Cricetulus griseus: one gene and its partners. The main gene of each other region encodes a partner of the protein of the gene in region 4 in a complex. Links are inferred from orthologs where the notes say so. Each region holds a gene or a part of one and is shown on either strand. Other genes may lie near its edges.

Region 1 (4,918 bases), on a different chromosome or scaffold from region 4:
AGTCAAGGTACATCTTAATCAAATAGGCCATAATGCTGACTAAGAGGACATGCTTTGAGCTCCAAAAGGGGATTCTTCCCATCTGACTAACATATGCACTTAAATACAGTACTTTAGTTGCTAAGAAAAGAGTTAATAAATGAAGGAGTGCACTTTTGGTGAATGCAAATGAAAAAGGGCCTATATTTAGAAGAGTCAATTTCAACTTAAGCTTATTCCCTATTGTCTGGGTTAACTGTCTCGGCATGCTATTATAAAATAAATGTTATCAGATTCAAACATGCTTACCATTTAACTCTTGTGCTCTTGCAATAAGGAGGGTAAGATGGTAAGTTTTTACATCCACTTCTGAAGGTCAGGGGTCAGGGTGCAGGATTAGTGAGAAAAGACCTATATTTGGATCATCTGCAGTTGAGAGAACTTAGCAGCCCTACAGATGAATCAACTTGTTTAATCAAGTTACCCTTTTCTTAGAGAATAGACTGTATTTAGGAGAATGGGGCAGATGGAAAATCCCAACAGACTGGGACCAATAACAGATGTATAAGGTGCTTTGGGAACCAGTCTTAATTAGTCTGATTTTGGTTGCCTTATATGCAATTCAGTTGATCAAAAGAAAAGCATTTGTTCACTGACCACTGAGGCTGTTACGTGTTCCACAGAGTACACTATCTGAAATGTGGTGTGCAGTGTGCAAAAATTTGAGGGTGGAGTCCCATGCAAATTTGAACTTATATTCCTAAGTGGTCATCTGATTTTTAGGTGTTCTTTTTTTAAAAAAAAAAAAGCCTATGGCAAAAGATTGGAAATATTTCAGTACAGGGAAACATGAGTCTTATTTCACATGGACTCCTTAATGGACAGCACTGAAGCCAGTTTTAGAAAATACTTTCTTTTCTCATTTTTAATAAAATGAAAATAGGGGTTTTTTTTAATGGATCTTGAAAGCCTCAGGTTTGCCACTCCCCAGATTCACAATGCAACAATGCATTGACAGTTAAATAAAGCATTCAAAGACTAATGTTTAGTGAAGTATCTACAGAGCGGGACATGAGTCACCAGGGCTTTTGTTTGGGGCTTTTTGCTTGCTTGCCTGTTGCTTTTTAAACATCGGTCAGGAGCTTGCTCTTATTAACGCAGTTTTGGTCAGCTGTGGTGCAGTTACCAGTTCTGATATTGGCCTGTCTGTAATGGGCTATGCTATTGTTCATATCCTCTTCGATTTCCATGTACTCAGATTTGCTGATAGTAGAGGAGCTGCGGCGGCTGAGGTCACTGTCAGAGGCTAAGTTAGGAGAGCTAACGTGGAGCAACTGAGCCTGCTCTTCCCCCTCAGTTTCTCGGTGGTAGAAATAGTTGAAATTGGACACAATGACAGGTACGGGCAGGGCAATTGTCAGCACACCAGCGATGGCACACAAGGAGCCCACGATCTTGCCTCCAATTGTCACAGGGTACATGTCACCGTATCCCACAGTGGTCATGGACACCACCGCCCACCAGAAAGCATCGGGGATACTGGAAAAGTGCGACTCAGCTTCTTCCGCCTCGGCAAAGTACACTGCACTAGAAAACAGGATGACCCCAATGAAGAGGAAAAAGATGAGCAGCCCTAACTCCCTCATGCTAGCTTTGAGGGTCTGGCCCAGGATCTGGAGGCCCTTAGAGTGGCGAGAGAGTTTGAAGATTCTGAACACCCTTACCAAGCGGATGACCCTGAGGATGGCCAGGGAAGTGGCCTGCTCGCCTTTCTGATTCCCCTCCTGCTCAGCTATCTCCGTGCCCAGGGTAATGAAATAAGGAATGATGGCCACGATGTCAATGAAGTTCATGATGTTCTTAAAGAAGTCCGTCTTGCTGGGGCAGGCAAAGAAGCGCACCACCAGCTCGAAAGAGAACCAGATGATACATAAGGTCTCCACAATGAAGAAGGGGTCTGTGAAGATGTTGGAAGTATAGATGACTGTGGTGTTGTCGATGCGGTGGATGGTGCCCGTGAAGTCCTTGTCATCCTTCAGCTCAGGGAGAGTCTCCAGGCAAAAGATGACTATGGAGATGAGGATGACCATGACCGATACAATGGCGATAACCCTGGCAGGCCCTGAGCTCTCCGGATACTCAAAGAGCAGCCACACCTGGCGCTGGTACTCCTTCTCAGGTAGGGGGCGCTCCTCTTCCTTGATGAAGCCCTCATCTTCCCGGAACTTCTCCATGGCCTCCTCGCCCAACTCGTAAAATTTGATCTCCTCGGAGAACATGTCCAGGGGCACGTTGACCGGCCTGCGCAGGCGGCCCCCTGACTGGTAATAATAAAGGATGGCATCAAAGCTGGGCCGGTTGCGGTCAAAGAAGTACTCGTTCCTTAGGGGGTCGAAGTAGCGCATGCGTTTCTTTGGGTTGCCCAGCAGCGTGTTGGGGAACTGTGCCAGGGTCTTGAGCTGCGTCTCGAAGCGTAGCCCGGAGATGTTGATCACCACGCGTTCGCAGCATTCGTGGTCGTCGTGGTCCGCCTGCCGTGGGTAGCTGCCATCCTGGGGGTGACCCGGAGCGGCCGAAGCCTCGTCCGCATTCTCCCCCGACATCACCGTCATGATGGAAGCAGAGTGCAGGGGTGGGAGGCCAGGAGAGAGCCCGGGGTGTGAAGGAGCGAAGGAAGAGGGGTGGGGGGGACCCAACCGGCCCCCCCACCGGAGAGTGAGTCTCCCCCACGCTCACGGGGAGGGGCTTCGGGGCCAGAAGGTTCAGAGGTCTGCAACTTTGCTAGTTACCACCTCCCCCTCCTCCACTCTGCCTTTTACCCAATTTGGAAAGCCCTCTCGCCTGAGGGCCCCCAGTGAGGCTTTTTCGAGAGGTTTGGGTTTTGGGGGTGTGCTCTGTTTTTGGGGTTGGTGGGTTTTTTTCTTCCTGCTCTGACTGCCTTAACGCACACCTGCCATCTCTCCGGGGCTCGCCAATGCACCCCTCCCCTCCTGCAGCCTTCCTAGGACCCGGTGCAGTGCCAACTCAGCAGATCCCCACGCCTGTCACCCCCTTTGCTGCTCCTTGGCTCTCCCCCCCTACCCCTCTTCGCCTGCCGCCTTCTAAGCTCCCACGGGGCGATCGATGGACGCTGCAGAGAAATAAAAAGTGATACCAGGGTAGAAAATCAGAAGCATTCCTATGGGACGAACCTATAGACACCGAAGAGCACAGACGACTAGCTTTTGTAGAACACACCGGACTTTTACTGGGGTTAACACACACGCACAGACAGACACACAACAGACACCCAGAAATCCAAGTTTGGAAATCTTCCATCCCACTTTCCCCCCCTGCCCAGCAGCCGATTCGTTTACAACTTCGTTAAAAACTGGAGATCGGAAAAGCGCTTAGAGATGCTGGGGGAGCTCCGGGTCCTGGGCAGCAACTTCTCACCCTCAACCTCCCCCACCCTGTCATCCTAACCTCGGATTCTGCAGCCCCGGAACTGTGGAGCTCCCTACCTGGCGGGCCGGCTTGGCGCAGGGGCGGTGCTGAGTCGGCGGCGGAGAGTCGGAATGCGGCAGGTCTCCTTTGCAGCAGTCGGAGCGAGCCACCTCCACAGCAGCATCCGAGAGGCACTGGGCCCCTCGTGGTCCGCGTCCTTCTCCTCTCAGGGGTCCGATCGTTTTACTGAGCAGCTATGGAGGAAATGTCCGTTCCCTGCCCCCATCCTCACATGGTGCAGGCAACCTGGGGGCTCGGTCCTCTCTCCGCTGCAGAGAGTTCCGGAGGATGCGGGATGGAAAAGCAAAAAGGCCACCCTCTCCCGAGTCACCCAAGCAAATGGCGATAAGCAGCACTCTCGCCCCCTCTGAACACTACAGGAGCCCTTGATTCGATCCCGAGAGAGGCAGGCGGCCCAAAGCCTGGCTCTACATGGCTATCGGGTCTCCGCACCACCGCACGGACCTCGCTCTGCAGCGCGCCGGGAGCCTTCAGCAGATCGGAGTGGAGTAGGGAGCATGCGGCCGCAGGTCCGCTCGGTCCATTTCTGGGCGCTGCAAGATCAGCAGAAACCTGAGAAAGCGCCTGGAATGCGGAGCAGCGATTGGCCCACCAGGGCGTGGGTTGGGGAGGGCGGGGGAGGGCAGGAGCGAGGAGGTAGATGGAAAATATGAGGGGGTGGTTTGGCAGAGGGGGGTTGTCATTCAGTTCCCATCCTTGCCAGCATAGCTTTTCTTCTTTTTCCCTCCTCTCCTCCTCGAAAAGCCCACCACCAACTCCTCTTCCTCGGTGGCCCGCAGCCCCGCCCACGCACAGCCCTTAGCTGAGCGCGCGACCTTCCCCGGGAATTTCACATTGGAGATGGTCAGGTCCGACGCAATGCAGGCGGCGATGTCGCTGGCAGAACTCCTTGGACCAGTCTGCTTCAGATGCAGTCACACAAGCAATCCTCCGGCATCCCGCTTCTCGGCGCCATCCCTCCCCTCCTCCAGGGGCCCCTCTGTCCCGCCCACCCTACTACCCCGCACCCCCTACCTCCACGCTACCCGCACTCTGAAGGGTACAGAGTTTGGTTAGAGCGCTGCAGTTAAGGATCCCCGTGTTTCATCCACGCAATGTTACTGCGAGAAGGTGGTGCCAAGTGTCTGTTCCTTTTGAGCCTACCAGAGGGAGCTGAAGTTTCCTTACAGTCAGAATATTCTGAAACGCAGGGAAGGGGGGGGGGCGAAGGCATCGTGGGTTTGTGGGTTGTCTGCCAACTTGGTGCTAATTGGAACAAATGTGAGGAGAAGCAAGTCGCCCGTTTGTCTTCCACCCTCAGTCCTGCCTCCCGCACCCCCACCCACCCACCCACCCACCCAGTGGCCCTCTGCCCCTCAGGACCAGTTTCTAGGCTCTAGACACATTCGTGCAAGGGGCCCTACAGAGGCGCAAGGCCGCCTGAGCCGGGCAC
Region 2 (5,361 bases), on a different chromosome or scaffold from region 4:
CTCATTAAAATCTGCATCCCTCATATATTTGAGGTTAATTTTGCTTTTCAAGTGCTGTGATGGCAACAGTTCTGTTGTGGGGTCTGGATGTTTTTCCTTTTCTTTGTTAGCAAGTAAACCTGAAGGTATCTTGTAGTAAGACTTCGGGTACACTGACTTTCTCCTGCTTATGTGCAGAACATGTTTATATTGCTGTCTTCATTTCATTTGTTGGCTTCTCATTTCTCGGTGAAAGAACTGCACAGAAGCATCTTCAAAAATTGTTATCAAATAACTGGCATTTAATTCAGATCCTGCCTTATTGTGGTTTGAGTGTAACATGTAAAAGATGACATTTTTCTTTTTGATTCAGTCATTATGGGATAACATAAACGATTTATATAAAATGTAAAAGCATTTTGTGATTAATTTCACTTCTTTGTTGTCTTACACTTAATTTATGCCATTTATTGAAATAGTGTTTTTTTTTTTTTCTTATGAAATCATGTAAGTAGGAACCATCTGGAAAGGTTACTGTGGAAACGGCAAGGCCTGAGGGGGTGGGGCTAAAGAGCAAAAGATGCCATGACAACCTTTTTCGGGTTTCCCAGGAAACATGGGTTGCTATGGGAACTGCATCAGTCAGGTCCGAATTAGTAACTTCCGCTGGAAGGGGTGTCTGCCACTTTAATCTTCTTGTGACACCACATAAGCTTATCTCTCACATGCATTAGGAATTTTTGTTGTTTCTCTTGGCAGCACTGAAAACGAGTTTCTAGACTTTTGTAGATGTTGGTTGGGGCTTGTACTCGCAACTTCACTGGAAATTCGTGTGTAATACTTTAAAAATTCTTTGCAAACTCCAAAGGGTTAATAGTCAGATCAGGACATTTGGGCCATTTCCCTTTTGGTTCAAAGTTATTGTGAACCTCAAATTCTTAGAGGAGAGATTCAAACTGAAAGACCAGTCAAAAACAAAATAAATTCATGGTGGGTTTATAAGTCATTGCTTTAGACTTTCTGTCCACATATCCAAAGGCTGGATAATTAAACTAAACAGTCAAATAACAATGAAAGGTCCACCAAACAGGAGCATCATTTAAGTTCTGCCTCCTTTACTTAGTAAAGAAACAACTATCTTTTGATTTTGAGGTTAAACAGTTACTCTGACACTTTAGTTTCATTTCCTCCCAGGATGTAGTTTTTCATAGGGCGTGCACTAGAAACCAAGCTTTAATGTAAGCTTGTTGGTTACAAAATTAAAAGACGGGGGAAAGAGAGAGAGGAGAGAGAGAGAGAGAGAGAGAGAGAGAGAGAGAGAGAGAGAGAGAGAGAGAGAGAGAGAGAGAGAGAGAGAGAGACAGAGAGAGAGAGAGAGAGAGAGAGAGAGAGAGAGAGAGAGAGAAGAGAGAGAGAGAGAGAGAGAGAGAGAGAGAAGAGAGACAGAGAGAGACACACACAGAGAAAGAGAGAGAATGAGAGAGAGAGAGAGAGAGAGAGAGAGAGAGAGAGAGAGAGAGAGAGAGCTGAGAGAATGCAGCCCACTTGCAGAACAGGCACCTGTTTAAACACAGTATGAAGCAATAGGGAGAGGGAGGATGAAGTGTGCTTTTCCACCTCTTCACGTCCGTTCCTTGATGAATGGTCTGGAAATGTATAAATCAAGGGCACACACAGACCAAGGGGGCACGTTCCACATAATACTGGGCATAGTTTGTCAACTGAATCGTATATTAGACATCAGTGAATATCTTTTTAATGTTGACACAGGAGTTGGGATTATTGTTCGTGGTGCAAGTGGCAGTGGAGTTGCCCGTTTTGAAAGGGGTCTGGGGGAAAGCGCTGTGGTTCATACCCCCCTCTTCGATCACCATATACTCCGACTTACTCAGGGTGGAGTTACTCCGGGCTTTTCGGAGCTCCTCAGCTGAAGAGGAGAGGTGCTGGCAACTTCCCACGTGCATGTACTGGGCTTGCTCTTCCCCTTCTGTCTCCCGGTGGTAGAAGTAATTGAAGTTGGAAACAATTACAGGAACTGGCAGTGCAATGGTCAAGACACCTGCGATGGCGCAAAGAGAGCCCACAATCTTGCCTCCTATGGTCACTGGGTGCATATCACCGTAACCCACAGTTGTCATGGTTACCACTGCCCACCAGAAGGCATCCGGGATACTGTTAAAACCCGAAGAAGGGTCGTCTGCCTCAGCAAAGTAGACTGCACTGGAGAAAAGGATGACTCCTATAAAGAGGAAGAAGATGAGCAGCCCCAGCTCTCGCATGGAAGCCTTCAGTGTCTGCCCCAGGATCTGCAGCCCCTTGGAGTGGCGGGAGAGCTTGAAGATGCGGAAGACCCTTACTAAGCGGATGACCCTCAGGATGGCCAAAGACATTGCCTGCTGCCCATTACCCTGTCGCTCAGCCAGCTCAGTGCCCAGAGTGATGAAATAAGGAATGATGGCCACAATGTCTATGAGGTTCATGATATTTCTGGAGAAGGTGGCTTTACTGGGGCAAGCGAAGAACCGCACTAGCAGCTCAAAGGAGAACCAGATGATGCACAGGGTTTCCACCACGAAGAAGGGGTCCGAAAAGCTGGAGGCTCCAGAGGCGGCCCCCGACGTGCTGTTGCTGGTGGCCTCGAACACTTCCTGCGACGGGGAGGCGGGGTAGTCTTTCTCGTCGCGGAACTCGGGCAGGGTCTCCAGGCAGAAGATGACAATGGAGATGAGGATGACCAGCACCGACACGATGGCAATGCCCCGGGCCGGCCCCGAGCTCTCGGGGTATTCGAAGAGCAGCCACACCTGGCGCTGGAAGTCTCTGCGGGGCAGGGGCCGCTCCTCCTCCCGCAGGAAGCCCTCGTCCTCACGGAACTTCTCCATGGCTTCCTCGCCCAGCTGGTAGAAGCGGATCTCCTCGGAGAAGATGTCGATGGGCACATTGACCGGCCGGCGGATGCGGCCCCCGGACTGGTAGTAGTAGAGGATGGCGTCGAAGCTGGGTCGGTTGCGGTCGAAGAAGTACTCATTGCGGAGCGGGTCGAAGTACCGCATGCGCCGCTTGGGGTCGCCCAGCAGCGTCTCTGGGAACTGGCAGAGGGTCTTGAGCTGCGTCTCAAAGCGCAGCCCCGAGATGTTGATGACCACGCGCTCCCCGCAGCAGTCCTGCTCGCCCGCGGCGGGCAACGCGGGCGGCAGCGGCTCGTAGCGGTCGCAGCCACCGCCACCACCACCACCACCACAGCCTCCCTGAGGCGGGTCCCCACCGCCGCCACCCGCCGCCTCTGGCTCCAGCAGGTGGTCCCCGGGCACCACGGTCATGTCTGGCGGCAGCTCGGCGCGGCCGGGGCTCTGCAGGGTGCGCGCGCCCGCCGCTCGCGGGGTCCTGCGCAGGGTGGGCGCGGTGGCGGGTGGAGGGCTGCGGTGGCCGAGCGCGGGAGGCGGCGGTGCTCTTCTTCCTTGCAGGAGGTGGCCGGCCCCGAGTCGCTCCTCCTCGAGCTCCCCGCCCCACCGCCGCCTCCGCCCCGCGAGCCCGGCCCGCCGCCTGTTGCTGCGGCGGCTGCAGCGATGCTCTGTCTGGAGCTGGCTCGGCGCGCGGGGCTGCACGGTCCAGACGCCTCCTCCCTCCTCCGCACCCCTCCCCGCGGGGCGCGCGCCCGCCTCGCCGCCGCCCCCGGGTTTCCCGCCCACCGCGCACGCGCCCCGCCTCCCGCTTCCCGGCCGCGCTCCTTGCGGTTCTTTGTCACTGGATCTCTTCCAATTTGCACCCTCTTCCCCAGACCCTCCTGAACCTCTCGCTACCCGGCCAGACCGGCCCTGGAAAAACCCAGCTGCTTGGGCTTGGCCTCCTCATTCCTGGGCTGCACTTGCTTTTGGACAGCGTGCATTCCCTTCCCGCGCGTGGCCGAGTCCCAATCTCAGGGTTGTTGGATCTGTTCAAGGACCACACCTCGGCCCTCGGATTCAGGCCTCCTGGCCCTTCACACTTTGCCTGGGCAGGAGGAAGGGCAAGTTCCAGGAGAGTAGGGAGCAGACAAAGGTGGAAGGAGGGCCAGGAGGTGCCAGGGCTCCTGACCCAGAATGTTGTGGGAGGAGAGAGCGAAGGCTAAGAGGTTAGCGTGGGCAAGAGGTGAGTCTGGGGCCAGCATCCCGATTTTGGAGGGTAGAAGATTGCTAGAACCCCGTGTTTAGGTGCTGTAAAGGATTGTGTTTGGACAGGAAGCCCAACTGAATTAATGGGTACATAGGGTCTGAAGTCTTCACAGGGGTCTAAAGAAAGGGTCCTTAAAGGCATTCAGAGACTTCACTTTTGTAAAGGCTGGTTCACCCTGGACAGAATCAGGACTAAGTTCCTGGTTGGGATTAGCGAGGGCAGCCTGAGTTTAAAAGTCCAATTTACTTTCAGTAGGAAAATAAGAAGGGGAATGTTAAAGAAAATCCATCACACCTCATCTGTGTGGTTAGATAACTCAATTATTTGTCTGCTGTGGGACAGACATGAGCAGGCTGGAACCTAGATTTTATTTAATACAATGCCACCTGCCCTTGTGGTGGGACTTGCTTTAGCTGCTAATGTGGAAAAGCCTTCATTGTTCCCCTCTTGCTTGATTTGGGCCTAGAGAAAACATTTACCCCCTTTAAACTTTTTCTCCAAATTGTTGTGGTTGCTTAATTAGGCTTAAGCCTAATTTCTGTTACCAGATATTTTAGGTACCCCAAGTATAAGCACTAGCATTACAAAATTCTGTTTTGAATCATTGCAATCATTTGCAAAAGAGGAATTGACGTCTAGACATCTACTCATTCCTGGAAGTGAGCTGATGATTCAATTTGATGTAAGAGTGATTTGTTGCCATTCTTTGCTACCACCTCTCCCAGCCACCAAACTCAATGATAGAATGGGCTTGCCCAAATTCTGTTCTTAGCAACCTTCAACGCACCTTGGGAATCATGGGAACTCAATAGTTGAGTTGAATTCCCCAACAATTGATGCTTTGTATGTATTTCTGTCTGCTCCAGGCACATTTTTTTTCTGTTGAATTCAGTACCACACTGTGATACCTGGGATGAGGAGTGTGGTGATACATTGTTTATGATTTATTAAAGCTTGCCTGAGTATTCAGAAAGCAAAGTCATCCACAAGCCATAGAAGCCAGGCACACACCTTTATTCCCAGCAGCCAGAAGATAGGACATGGTGGTACATACCTTTAATCCTAGGACTCAGGATAGACAGATCTCTGTGAGTTCAAGGCCACCCAGATCTACACAAGAGTGAACCAATCTAAAAGCGAATAATAGCTCACACCATTAATCCTAACATTAGGGAAATATGTAAGACAGAAGCAAGGTCTCAGGCATTTGTTCTTCAGCCACACTGAGGA
Region 3 (5,177 bases), on a different chromosome or scaffold from region 4:
AACCCAGGTCCAGTGGGTTTTACCATACCCATTGGGCTTCTTATACAACCAACCCACCAAGCAATGGATTTGCTCCTGAATCTGAACTCCAGAGAATGAATATATATATATGTGTGTGTATAATGTACATATACACACATTTGTGTATGTATATATATATTCTAGTGCACATAGTCAAACACATGCATAAATTGCCCTGTGTCAAAATATTGCATAAGCTTATACAATGTTCAAATGCAATTTTTCTATAGCTTACTAGAGGAACACATGAGAAAGATAGATAGCTGATATATATTTATATACATTGAACCCACAGATCTGCCTGTCCTCAGGATCAATGCCCTGGTAAGCTTTGTAGTCATGCCCTTGACTAGACTAATTCTTAAGTTTCAGTCATCTGAGTGTTTAGACTCTGACTTTTCTGTTCAATTCTCCTGGTGTGGCAGGGTCTTTGCTCCCATTGAAAGAACAGAGATGGGCGGGCTGGAGGGCCAGCCAGAAGTTTTGGTTCCCCATTCCAAATAGTCTATTTGCTTCCCTGATGGAGGGCTTTTGCCTTCTGTGGGGGGAAAACCCAGTTCAATACCATCCCAAGGCTATTAATACTCTATGTATGAATACTGAATAGGATACTAGGAAAATAGGTTATCTTCTGTGTTTTAAATATTGAGATTTCATGCAGTGAACACCCATGCAGCTCTATTGCATGACTGGTATACTCCACTGCAGTGTAGTGGAGCTGGGCCACACCATCAAGAAAGAATATGTCTGCAAATTCCAGAGTAAAAGAAGAAATCAAACATGTTCTGTGACCCTGAGGCTTGCAAAATGGTATCTGAAACTGAGAAGTCCCAAAATTAGGTAGCTTCTCCCCATAGGCCTAAGGGAACAAATGTAAAACTTGACAACTCATATTTGGTCGTATTAACTGTCCCTCCCCCACCCTCTGGGCTTTCCTCACATTGATACTGCAGAGAAAAAGCAGAATGCAGCATTTCCGTTACGAAACAGAAGCCTCTGGAGCATCTAGTTGGCAACTGCAATTCACAAACCTCAGCCTATGACACAGAAAGTAATTCTAACACACAGGACTGTCTGTTCTTTTCAATGCAAAAATGGGAATGACCTTTGGAGTAGTCTCCAGAACTCTCAAACTCAGCCATGATGGTGTTCCTCTGTGAGGGGACAGGTGGGCTAAAGTGGGATAGTAGGGTGTGGTAGGGAGAATGCACCCGCCAGGTGTGCTTGCATTTAGTTAGGAAGCTAGGATGGTGATTACGATGGGTGGTGTGTGGGCTATGAGGGGGCTGCATTATTCCAGTCTGAGACTGGCTCCATAGGTGACTCCCATCTTTGGAACCCTGTAAGTCAGTGATGAAGATTTCATGAAAGCCATGATAAATACTCTGTGTTCTAAATCAAAAATCAAAAGGTCAAAAGTCACTTGCACGACTATTGCTTTCCATGCAGAACCAGATGCACACTGTGGAACACTGACTACAATGCAGGCTATTATGCAACATCTGCATTAGTCCTGTTGAGCTGTGAGCACATCAATAGGTTTCATCAGACATCAGTTAACATTTTGGTAATATTCACATAGTTGGTGTTAGCCAATGTACAGTTGGCTGTCTTTAAGTTTTCCTCTCTAAAGTCCTCATTACTGTTGTTTACTCCCTCCTGTATTTCCATGTAATCAGACTTACTTATAGTAGAGGCACTTCTACTTTTCTTTAGGTCAGGGGAGGACGGGATCTTTGGACAGCTTGTCACTTGCAAGTACTGGGCCTGCTCCTCTCCCTCTGTCTCCCGATGGTAGAAGTAGTTGAAATTAGACACTATGACAGGGACTGGTAAGGCAATGGTTAACACACCTGCAATTGCACACAGGGATCCCACTATCTTTCCCCCAATGGTAGTTGGAACCATGTCTCCATAGCCTACAGTTGTCATGGAGACGACTGCCCACCAGAAAGCATCCGGGATGCTGGGGAACTGGGAATCTCTCTCATCAGCTTCTGCAAAATAGACAGCACTAGAGAAGAGGATGACCCCAATGAACAGGAAGAATATCAAGAGGCCCAATTCCCTCATGCTGGCTTTGAGGGTCTGACCTAGGATCTGCAGACCTTTGGAGTGTCTGGACAACTTGAAAATCCTAAAGACTCTTACCAAACGGATGACACGGAGAATGGCCAGTGACATGGCCTGCTGGCCTTGCTGGGCGTCCTCTGGCTTCTCAGCTAACTCTGTCCCCAGGGTGATAAAGTAAGGGATGATAGCCACAATGTCTATAATGTTCATGATGTTGGTGAAGAAGCCAGCTTTGCTGGGACAGGCAAAGAATCTCACCAGAAACTCAAAGGAGAACCAGATGATGCAGAGAGTCTCTACGATGAAGAAAGGGTCGGTGAAGGATGTGGACTGCTGGTACCCAATGGTGCTGTTGGAGTAGGTGTGGAAGGTCACCCCACCACCATGCATGTCCTCATTCTCATCCCGGAAGATGGGCAAGGTTTCCAGACAGAAGCTGACGATTGAGATCAGAATGACCATGACGGATACAATGGCTATAATCCTGGCAGGCCCTGAGCTCTCAGGGTATTCAAAGAGAAGCCACACCTGTCTCTGAAACTCATTTTCAGGCAGAGGACGCTCTTCTTCCTTGATGTAGCCTTCATCCTCTCGAAACATCTCCATTGCTTCTTCTCCTAGCTCATAAAACCGGATTTCTTCAGAGAATATATCTAAGGGCACATTCACAGGTCGCCTCAACCTGCCCCCAGACTGGTAGTAGTACAAAATGGCATCGAAGCTAGGGCGGTTGCGATCAAAAAAGTATTCATTTCGGAGGGGATCGAAGTACCTCATCCGCTTCTTGGGGTCCCCTAAGAGGGTCTCTGGAAACTGGGCTAAGGTCTTTAGCTGAGTCTCAAACCGCAGGCCTGAGATGTTGATCACCACCCTCTCACAGCACTCGTGGTCTGCCTCTGGGTCATAGGTGTCCTGTGGGTGTCCAGGGAGGGCAGCAGCCTCATCCACTGGGTCTCCGGTAGCCACTGTCATAATTGGGGCTGAGGAGAGTACTTTACTCTATGCCTTCCAGCTGCTTGCAGCAGGGGGCTCAGGGTGCTGGTAACTGGGCCCCAGAAAACACAGAAGCATTAGTCTGTGCTCCTGCAGGAGAGCCCCAGAGCCCTCTGAGAGCTGGAGACACAGCCTCGCTTGGCTGAAAGACAAAGGCAGGTAAGGATGTGAGACCACCAGTCACTGGCAACCTGACATGAACTGTACTTGGTGTCCCCCATCTTAGCTAAGAGTTCAGAAACAAGACCATATCACCATCCCTGCCACTGTAGCTACTTTGCAACTTGTCTAGGGATCAGTGGGGTTCAGGGAACAATCTTTCAAATATAGAATGGCCTGCACTGGGGGCAGGTGACCTAGACAGGCTCCAGCTCCATAGGGGGGAGGCAAGAAGAGAGCCCTCTGCCAGGCACTGTGCTAATGTCTTGCCAACACCTGCACTACAGGAAGTATTTATGGTAGGGTGTTTGGGTCCAGGGTCTTTATCCCTGATATCACCCTCAATAACTCTATATGGCTGTTATTGGTTTATTGGTTTACCTGTCCAGGCAGGAGAAGCCTGAGGTTCTCTTCCTTGAAGAGCAGGTCAGATGCCACAGGAATCCTAGATACCCAAACAGGCAGCTCAACTCCCTGTCACATCTTCTCACTTGGGCTGGAAATAATGGTGAGTCATTCTGAGCAGGAGGGCAGGCTCCAGATCCTGGAGGTGTGCTCTAGGACTGGATAGGGCTGGAGGGACAGTTGGATGCTTGGCAAGGGGCATTCAGGACTTGAGAAGAGTGAAGCCTGGGTCTGAAGTCTTTGGAAGGAAGGAGGTAAGATGCACAGCTCAGCAAAAGCCAGAGAACTCCTGGCTGTCCTCAGGAGGTGTGACGTTGCCTGGAAAACACAGCAGCAAGGTGGAAACCAGGGCTTTCAGGCAGCTGGAACCAAGACTTAGAAGGACTCTGGCAGATACCCTCTCTGCAAGTTGCAAGCCCCCGTGCCTACTTTCCATGGTGCTAGTGACAGAGAACTGCCCTGTACCTTTCTAGCCTCTCCTGGGTAAGCCTTTCCCATCAGCTTGAAGCACTTTTCTCCGCTTAGTCCTCTGCTGCCACCAGGAGCCACCCAGCTTTCTCCACCCTGGTGTCAGAACACCTATCCCCCAAGGGGAGGCTTTTCCTCTCTGACCTTAGCTATGTCCCATGAAGAAGCAATCCTTCCTCCTCCAACACACACTCTTGCCCAGCTCGAGAGACCCTGCACACAGCCAGATCGCCTCAGTAGAATGCTGGATAGCTATGGTCGCTGAACTTACTCTCCCTCCAGGATCCCTGGGCCTCAGGGGATCCCTGAGCCTCAGGCCTTGCTCTGGATTGGGTGGCATTTGAACTGGGCAGGCGCTGGACCACCGATTTCTTCCCAAGAGAAAATCACTCACATCTCCGCAGGGAAGCACAGAACAAACGCTCAAACTGCCTGGCTGGCTGCAAGGCGGATTGGCTTCTTGGAGAGAGGGAGCCTAGAGGAAGCTGGCTTCCGGGCTGGCCCCCCGCCGACCCAATCCCGCTGGCCCCAGGGCGGGGAGGGGTCTAGGCCCTCTCGCATCGCCAGGAGCTCCAGCCGGGATTCCGCCGGGCGCGCTCCCGCCGGAATCCGCGCGGCTGACCGGAGCCTGCAGCTATCCGCCGGCTTGAGTGTACCACCTTAACCCCTTCCTGCGCAGTGCGGTGGGCTCCCGCTGCGGGCCCGAGGGCAGCCTAGCTAGTGCCAGCGAGGTCCAGCTTAGGGACTATCGAGGGCTCGTCTGGAAAACACAGGAGCCTGAACTCTAAAGGTGCAGAGGAGGCTTCGCCAGGCAGCTGCCCCAGATCTAGCTTCCTCTTAGGCAAGGGGGTTCCGCGGCAGCCCACCACCCAGGCCAAGTGGAAAAACAGCGACTGCAGAAAAGCCTATTTTACTCCGTTGCCAAGAGGCAAATGCAACCAGGAGGACCAAGTGACTCGCGTCCTACCCACCCACTATTTACCAGACATGGCTATGCAGTCAGCTGCACTTCCCATCATCACCAGCCACCTCCAATCTGCGCCCTCCGCCCTATGTCA
Region 4 (5,282 bases):
CCACCTGTAACTCCAACTCCGGGTATCCCACAAATTGGTATCCTCTGACCCCTGGGGGGGCACCTACACACATGTGCACTTACCCACATACAGATACACGTGCATACACATAATTAAAACTAAAAATACGTCGTTTTTAAAACCACCTCTGGGAACCACTCCAGAGCCACTGAAACAGGAGGTCTGAGCCAGGTGCAACAGGGTGGGTCCCCTGAGTTCCTGACCAGGTGTTGGCCATGCCAAGCACACAGCGGTGCTTAAAACTCTAAGAAATAAAGGGTGTGTATTAAAAGGTCCCATGAGTCATTAGCCAGAGTTAAGTTCTGTTTTCTCTACTTGGGCTCAGGCTTTGCATATTCAGGGGAGGCTACAAAGCTAAGATCTGTCCCTGCTCAATCCAAAGCAAGGGCACAAATGCATGCTTTGCGTTCTGCAGCCACATGCTCCTTGAAAGGCCAGGCCGTCCCCCTGTGGGTCCCAGGCACCAGGCTGCAAGAAATTTAACTGCCCTCTCCCAACCTCTCTTGCACCCAATTTGCTTGAAAAGGGTCCCAGGCTATCTGGAGCACAGGGCCTCAGGCCAACAAACCCTGCTGCCTAAGTGGGCTGCTGGCAGGAGGAACAGAGCTAGGTCTGTGCTGGCTTCCGTAGGCGGCGCCTGTGTGACCTTCCAGGACATCCTTGGTAAAGGCACCAACTCTATCCTCCCAACTGCTGTGCCCAGGTCCAGTTCTACCCTCGGGGACTGGGTCCTCCTTTTGCATTAGGCCTGAGCTCATGGGGGTCTAAGGTTTTGCTGGCCTGTGGAGTAAGCATACAGGGAGGAGGGGCTACACTATAGGGTCATGTGGCTGATTCCCACCATGGGAAGCCAGAGTTTCTGTGACAAGATCTTGCCAGTGCATACCGTTTGTTCATTGGGTTTTTTTGTTTGTTTGGTTGCTTGCTTGCTTGCTTGCTGGCTTTTGATCTTCAGCACTTAACCAGGTTCAGGCTTTGAGTACTTTGCCTGCCAAGCTTGGCCTAGAACACATCTTCAGATCTTTATTCCTGAGGGTGGTGAAGTCTGAGAGGCTGCCCAGTGAGCCTAAGGTGTCACTCTTATCAGCTGTCCCCAAAGGTGGAACACAGGCTTGGAGGTGGCTCAACCAGTGCCTGAGGTGTAGGACCTGAGTTCAGATCTCCAGGTGTAGCCACATACAAAGCCAGGCGTGGTGGCGTGTGCCCCAGTGCTTGGAGAAGGGGTCAAAGACAAGTGGATCCCTGAGACTGGATAGCCAGCCAGCCTAGCCGAATCAGTGAGCTCTAGGTTCAGTGAGAGACCTTCCTTATGCTAAGGATGGGTATGGTAGGGTAGCCTAGGTCATTCATTCATTCATTCATTCATTCATTCATTCCAGAAGACGGGTGCCCGATGTAAAATAAGTACTAACCTGTACTGCTCGGTCCCTTGGTGTCTTTGACCCGGCCTCTTTCCTGGGTCGTCATGTCACAGTGGTTGCTTTATGTCCCCTTTCCTGGTACCTTGGCCCTGAGCAGATAGAGATGAACACTAGCTCCTGACACACACACACACCTGAGCCAACGTTGCCTGCCCAGCTTGTGGCTGCAGGTCAGCCTGGAGCTGCCAGCACCAGCCCCTAGGGACCAGCAGGGCAGGTGGTTGTGCACCCTGCTCATGAATAATGACTCCAGCACTGCCTCTCGCTGGCCACTCACTGGCTCAGCAGGAGCCTCTGGCACCCCATGTGCAGAGCCAGGAGCCAGGCAGGAGGAACTGGAGAAGCAGCTGCTCCCTGAGACCCCCCAGAGCGGCCACCCCACGGAATACATCCAGCAGCGAGGTCATGAAGAAGGGATTCCACTCCTGTTAGAGGAAGGCGACTGTGCCCATCAGTCGTGGGTCCTGTGCCGCCCAGTCCAGAAGTGCACTCTTGGAGACTGCCGGGGACGTGGAACAGCCAGGACCAGAGCAGGGTGGCACAGGGAAAGCCAGGAGGGAACGGGGGTGGGGATGTGAGGCATGGCTCCTCCCTGCTGGACCTCCAGCTCCCCGCTCCATCTTCGACTCCTCTCAGACAAGGGCTCATCTAGCATCATCTGGAAATTTGATGCCCTCCACTCGGCTGCACAGGCTGGTCCTCTCTTGCCCTCAGAAATCCTCTCTCTGAGCGCGCTCCCCGCCACTTTTTCACCTCCGGGGATAAAGTCTCATCAGAGACAGGGAAGGACTCCTAAGGAGCCAGTGACTTCTGAATCCGGCAGGAGCTGAGCCCGGCCTCAACATGCAGGTGTCCTTTGTGTGCTCGGAGCACAGCCTCAAGACACGCAGCCCTGAAGATCGTCTGGGCCGCACGGCAGCCGGCAGTCCCAGCCCGGGTACTCGTGGACGTTTCCGGGCCGTGGCTATGGTCGCCCGGAGCCTGGGACAGCTGTCCGTGCAGAGTGCCCCAAACAGCAACGACACCAGCACCAGCGTGAAGCAGCCAGGGATGAAATATAGGTAGGCTGAGCAGCCAGTTCTGTGGGGAGGGGACTGGCCTTCCCACATTTCTGCAAATCTCGCCAAAAGACAGCTGGGGCAGTTTGTACAGGGGGTCTCTTAGCCCTGGTAGACTTGCTAAAAAGTAAGTTGAGACTTGATCAAGTCCAAGTCTCTTCTCCTTGGCTCCAGAGGAGGGTGGTATATAGTCACCGTCTTCCTTCTCTGTGTTTTTATCTCTTTTCTGGACTCAGATCCTATAGTAAGTCACCTCATCAGACGTCAGTCACTGTTTGACCCCAGGGCATCAGCCATACCCCACTCCCTGCTACCCCCCATTTCTGCTAAGATCACAGGTCCTTCTCGCTCCCAGGTAAGACTCAGAGCCCTAGGACCTGAGCAACTGGGCACCTGAAGAATATGCTCTGAGGAAAGGGGGATGGGGCCCCGCTCCATGTGGAGTCTCCAGGGAAAGGGATCTTCCTCGGGTTTGTGCAGGCTGAGCAGGTCAAGGGCATGCTCTGGCACCCAGGCAGCCTATTGGGAAGGGCTTCTTGAAGCTGAAGTGGGAGCAGTTAGTTCCCAGTGACCTCGGACAGTCCAAGCACGGGCGGTCCCCGCAGACTGCAGGATGGTCCCCTAAGTTCCTAGCTGGTATCACGATGAGCTTAAACCTCCCTAGGACCAGATATATAGGAGCCCCCTTCCCTGAGGCTGAGGCTGCATCATGGTAAGCGCTGGCATGAGGCTGGGGTCCTGCATCTGCACTCAAACCTCCTGGCCTCTCCAGGTCCTCGGGATGTTAGGTGTTCTTCAGCAATCTTGGGTAAAGAACTCTTTTTCTGTCCTATGAGCTTGGTGGGGACAATCAGAATGGAATTCTTTGTGCTGGATAAACTCTCTGTGGTGTGTATCTTTGTTTCGGCAACCATTAAAAGCTAGGGCTAAATAGGAGTATGTGTGTATATGTGTATGTACATATGTGTGTATGTATGTATGTATGTATGTATGTATGTATTTGTTGAGATTCTTGTTACCTGGTATGACTTTGAAGTCAGAGATTTGCCAGGACTGAACACTAGTGTATCTGTTTCCACACATGTAGAGCTCTAAGTGAAAGGAAAAGTGGATCTGAAGAGCCCAAGTGCTCCCAATGATCATGTGTGCATAGTGTTCATGCGCATGTCTGTGTGTGTATGTTCCTGCATGTGTGTCTGTGTGCATGTGTGTCTGTGTATCTGTGTGCATGCGTCTGAGTGTATACCCATGTGCGTCTATGTGCACACATGCCTATATTTGTGGTTTCGTACTTGTGTCTGTGTGCGTGTACGTGTGCGTGTGTGTGTGTGTGTGTGTGTACATGCATACACTAAAAACAGGAATGGTGAGACCCAGCAGTGAAAGGCTTTCAGTCTGGGGACCTGGGTTCAAATCCCAGCCCCAGCTCTTCTCAGATGCAGTGCCCCATCTGTGGAATGACAGAGTAGGGCCTTCCCCCAGAGCAGGACCTGGTTGTCTGTTCTTGATGTCATCTGGAGGGATGGGGACCATACCCCTGTAAAGGATGTGCAGCTTTCTAAAGCAGAAAGAACAGATATGTAACACAGGGTCCACGGGTCCCTTTAAAGAGCCACTCTGCTATCGGCCCCCGTGGGTATCAGCCTCACAAGTGGCCACACAGTGACTGCCTCAAGGCCACATCCAACATGTTAGTTAGGGCCATGGGGACCAAGGATGGGCTGATCCTGGCACGTCCACCTCCCCGTCCCCACAGACACTCCGGGCATACTTGTCCATTGAAGCTTCGCAGCTCTTGCCTTGCTTGGGGATGAGGGTCTGGTCTTGAACGTGTACCTGCTCATTTCCCAATGGTACCAAAATCGTTGTCCCTCAGCTAACACTCCCTTGGGACTCCATTCTAGGCCAAAGATAAAGACAGGAAGGGCTCAGGCTTGACCTTGGGCATCCAGAGTCTGGGAGCAGGGAAGACCTGTGCATAGCTCCACACCCAGTACAGGAGACCAAGCTGTCAGGAGAAAGATGCCACCAGAACCCCGGTCCCTCTCACTCCTTAGCCATAGTGAGAGTAGAGCGCCTTGCCCTTACTGGAGCCAGCCTTTGTCCTCCTCCCTGGCAGCTGAAATGAAAAGCCCAGAACTCTTTTTTAAAGACTTTCCTGGGGCCTTGCCTCCCAGACCCTTCCTGAAGCCTGAGGCACAGCTGTTGGAGCTGGAGTCAATCTGCATTGCCTCTGGCCAAGGTGATGCCTGAGAGGCCTCCAAACCTCAGGAGAGAGACAAAAAAACACTGAGAAAGGCTTAGGGGCTTTGACCAATTCTCTTATAATTGCATCAGGTTTTAATTAAAGAAAGGGAATATGTAGATTATTCTTCCATTCTGCAGTTTGGGCAGACAGCGTGGTAAGAGCCACCATGCAGGCCTGGCTCTGTGATACTCCCTGCCCACTCTCTGAAGCCCTGCATATACAGCTTTCACCCTGGAGGTGACTGTCCCCTCCGGAGGCCGGGCAGCAGATGGCAGGACCAATGCCGTCATTTAATGAGAAACAAGTTGAGCAGGGTAATTACAGCATGGAGCAGTGCCCCACTTTTGTAAAAGTGTCCCTAAGGACGGCAGATGAGGACACTACGCGTAGCCACACTCCCTGTCCCCACCCAGGCACAGGAGAAGAGAGAGGCCTTTTGGGAAATTCATCTGTTTCTTGACCACCCACAACTCTTCAGCCACAGGCACAGGTGGGCCCAGCCTCTTGTTTTGAATCTTCACCTGCCTAATTCTA

The links.
Region 1: the proteins of Kcnab2 (region 4) and Kcna1 are in contact, whole or in part, in a crystal structure (PDB 1EXB), measured with the Rattus norvegicus proteins. The link is inferred for Cricetulus griseus from reciprocal best matches to the Homo sapiens genes KCNAB2 and KCNA1. Residues at the interface, in NP_059000.1 of Rattus norvegicus: Met196, Tyr199, Ser200, Arg203, Glu231, Lys235, Ile236; in NP_775118.1 of Rattus norvegicus: Glu37, Met70, Phe73, Asp74, Pro75, Leu76, Asn78, Tyr80.
Region 2: the proteins of Kcnab2 (region 4) and Kcna3 are in contact, whole or in part, in a cryo-EM structure (PDB 7EJ2), measured with the Homo sapiens proteins. The link is inferred for Cricetulus griseus from reciprocal best matches to the Homo sapiens genes KCNAB2 and KCNA3. Residues at the interface, in NP_001186789.1 of Homo sapiens: Met196, Tyr199, Ser200, Arg203, Glu231, His234, Lys235, Ile236; in NP_002223.3 of Homo sapiens: Pro133, Met137, Phe140, Pro142, Leu143, Asn145, Tyr147.
Region 3: the proteins of Kcnab2 (region 4) and Kcna2 are in contact, whole or in part, in a crystal structure (PDB 5WIE), measured with the Rattus norvegicus proteins. The link is inferred for Cricetulus griseus from reciprocal best matches to the Homo sapiens genes KCNAB2 and KCNA2. Residues at the interface, in NP_059000.1 of Rattus norvegicus: Met193, Met196, Tyr199, Ser200, Arg203, Glu231, His234, Lys235, Ile236; in NP_037102.1 of Rattus norvegicus: Asp28, Glu33, Pro62, Met66, Phe69, Asp70, Pro71, Leu72, Arg73, Asn74, Tyr76.

What each region holds. Positions count from the first base shown.
Region 1 is NC_048601.1:19,841,686-19,846,603, reverse strand, and holds Kcna1 (potassium voltage-gated channel subfamily A member 1), read right to left. Parts: upstream 2,592-4,918; coding exon 1,104-2,591; downstream 1-1,103. UniProt on the Homo sapiens protein: Voltage-gated potassium channel that mediates transmembrane potassium transport in excitable membranes, primarily in the brain and the central nervous system, but also in the kidney.
Region 2 is NW_023276806.1:50,096,874-50,102,234, forward strand, and holds Kcna3 (potassium voltage-gated channel subfamily A member 3), read right to left. Parts: upstream 3,400-5,361; 5' UTR 3,300-3,399; coding exon 1,713-3,299; downstream 1-1,712.
Region 3 is NW_023276806.1:50,031,232-50,036,408, forward strand, and holds Kcna2 (potassium voltage-gated channel subfamily A member 2), read right to left. Parts: upstream 3,067-5,177; coding exon 1,567-3,066; downstream 1-1,566. UniProt on the Homo sapiens protein: Voltage-gated potassium channel that mediates transmembrane potassium transport in excitable membranes, primarily in the brain and the central nervous system, but also in the cardiovascular system.
Region 4 is NC_048595.1:3,941,200-3,946,481, forward strand, and holds part of Kcnab2 (voltage-gated potassium channel subunit beta-2), read left to right. Parts: intron 1-2,265; coding exon 2,266-2,503; intron 2,504-5,282.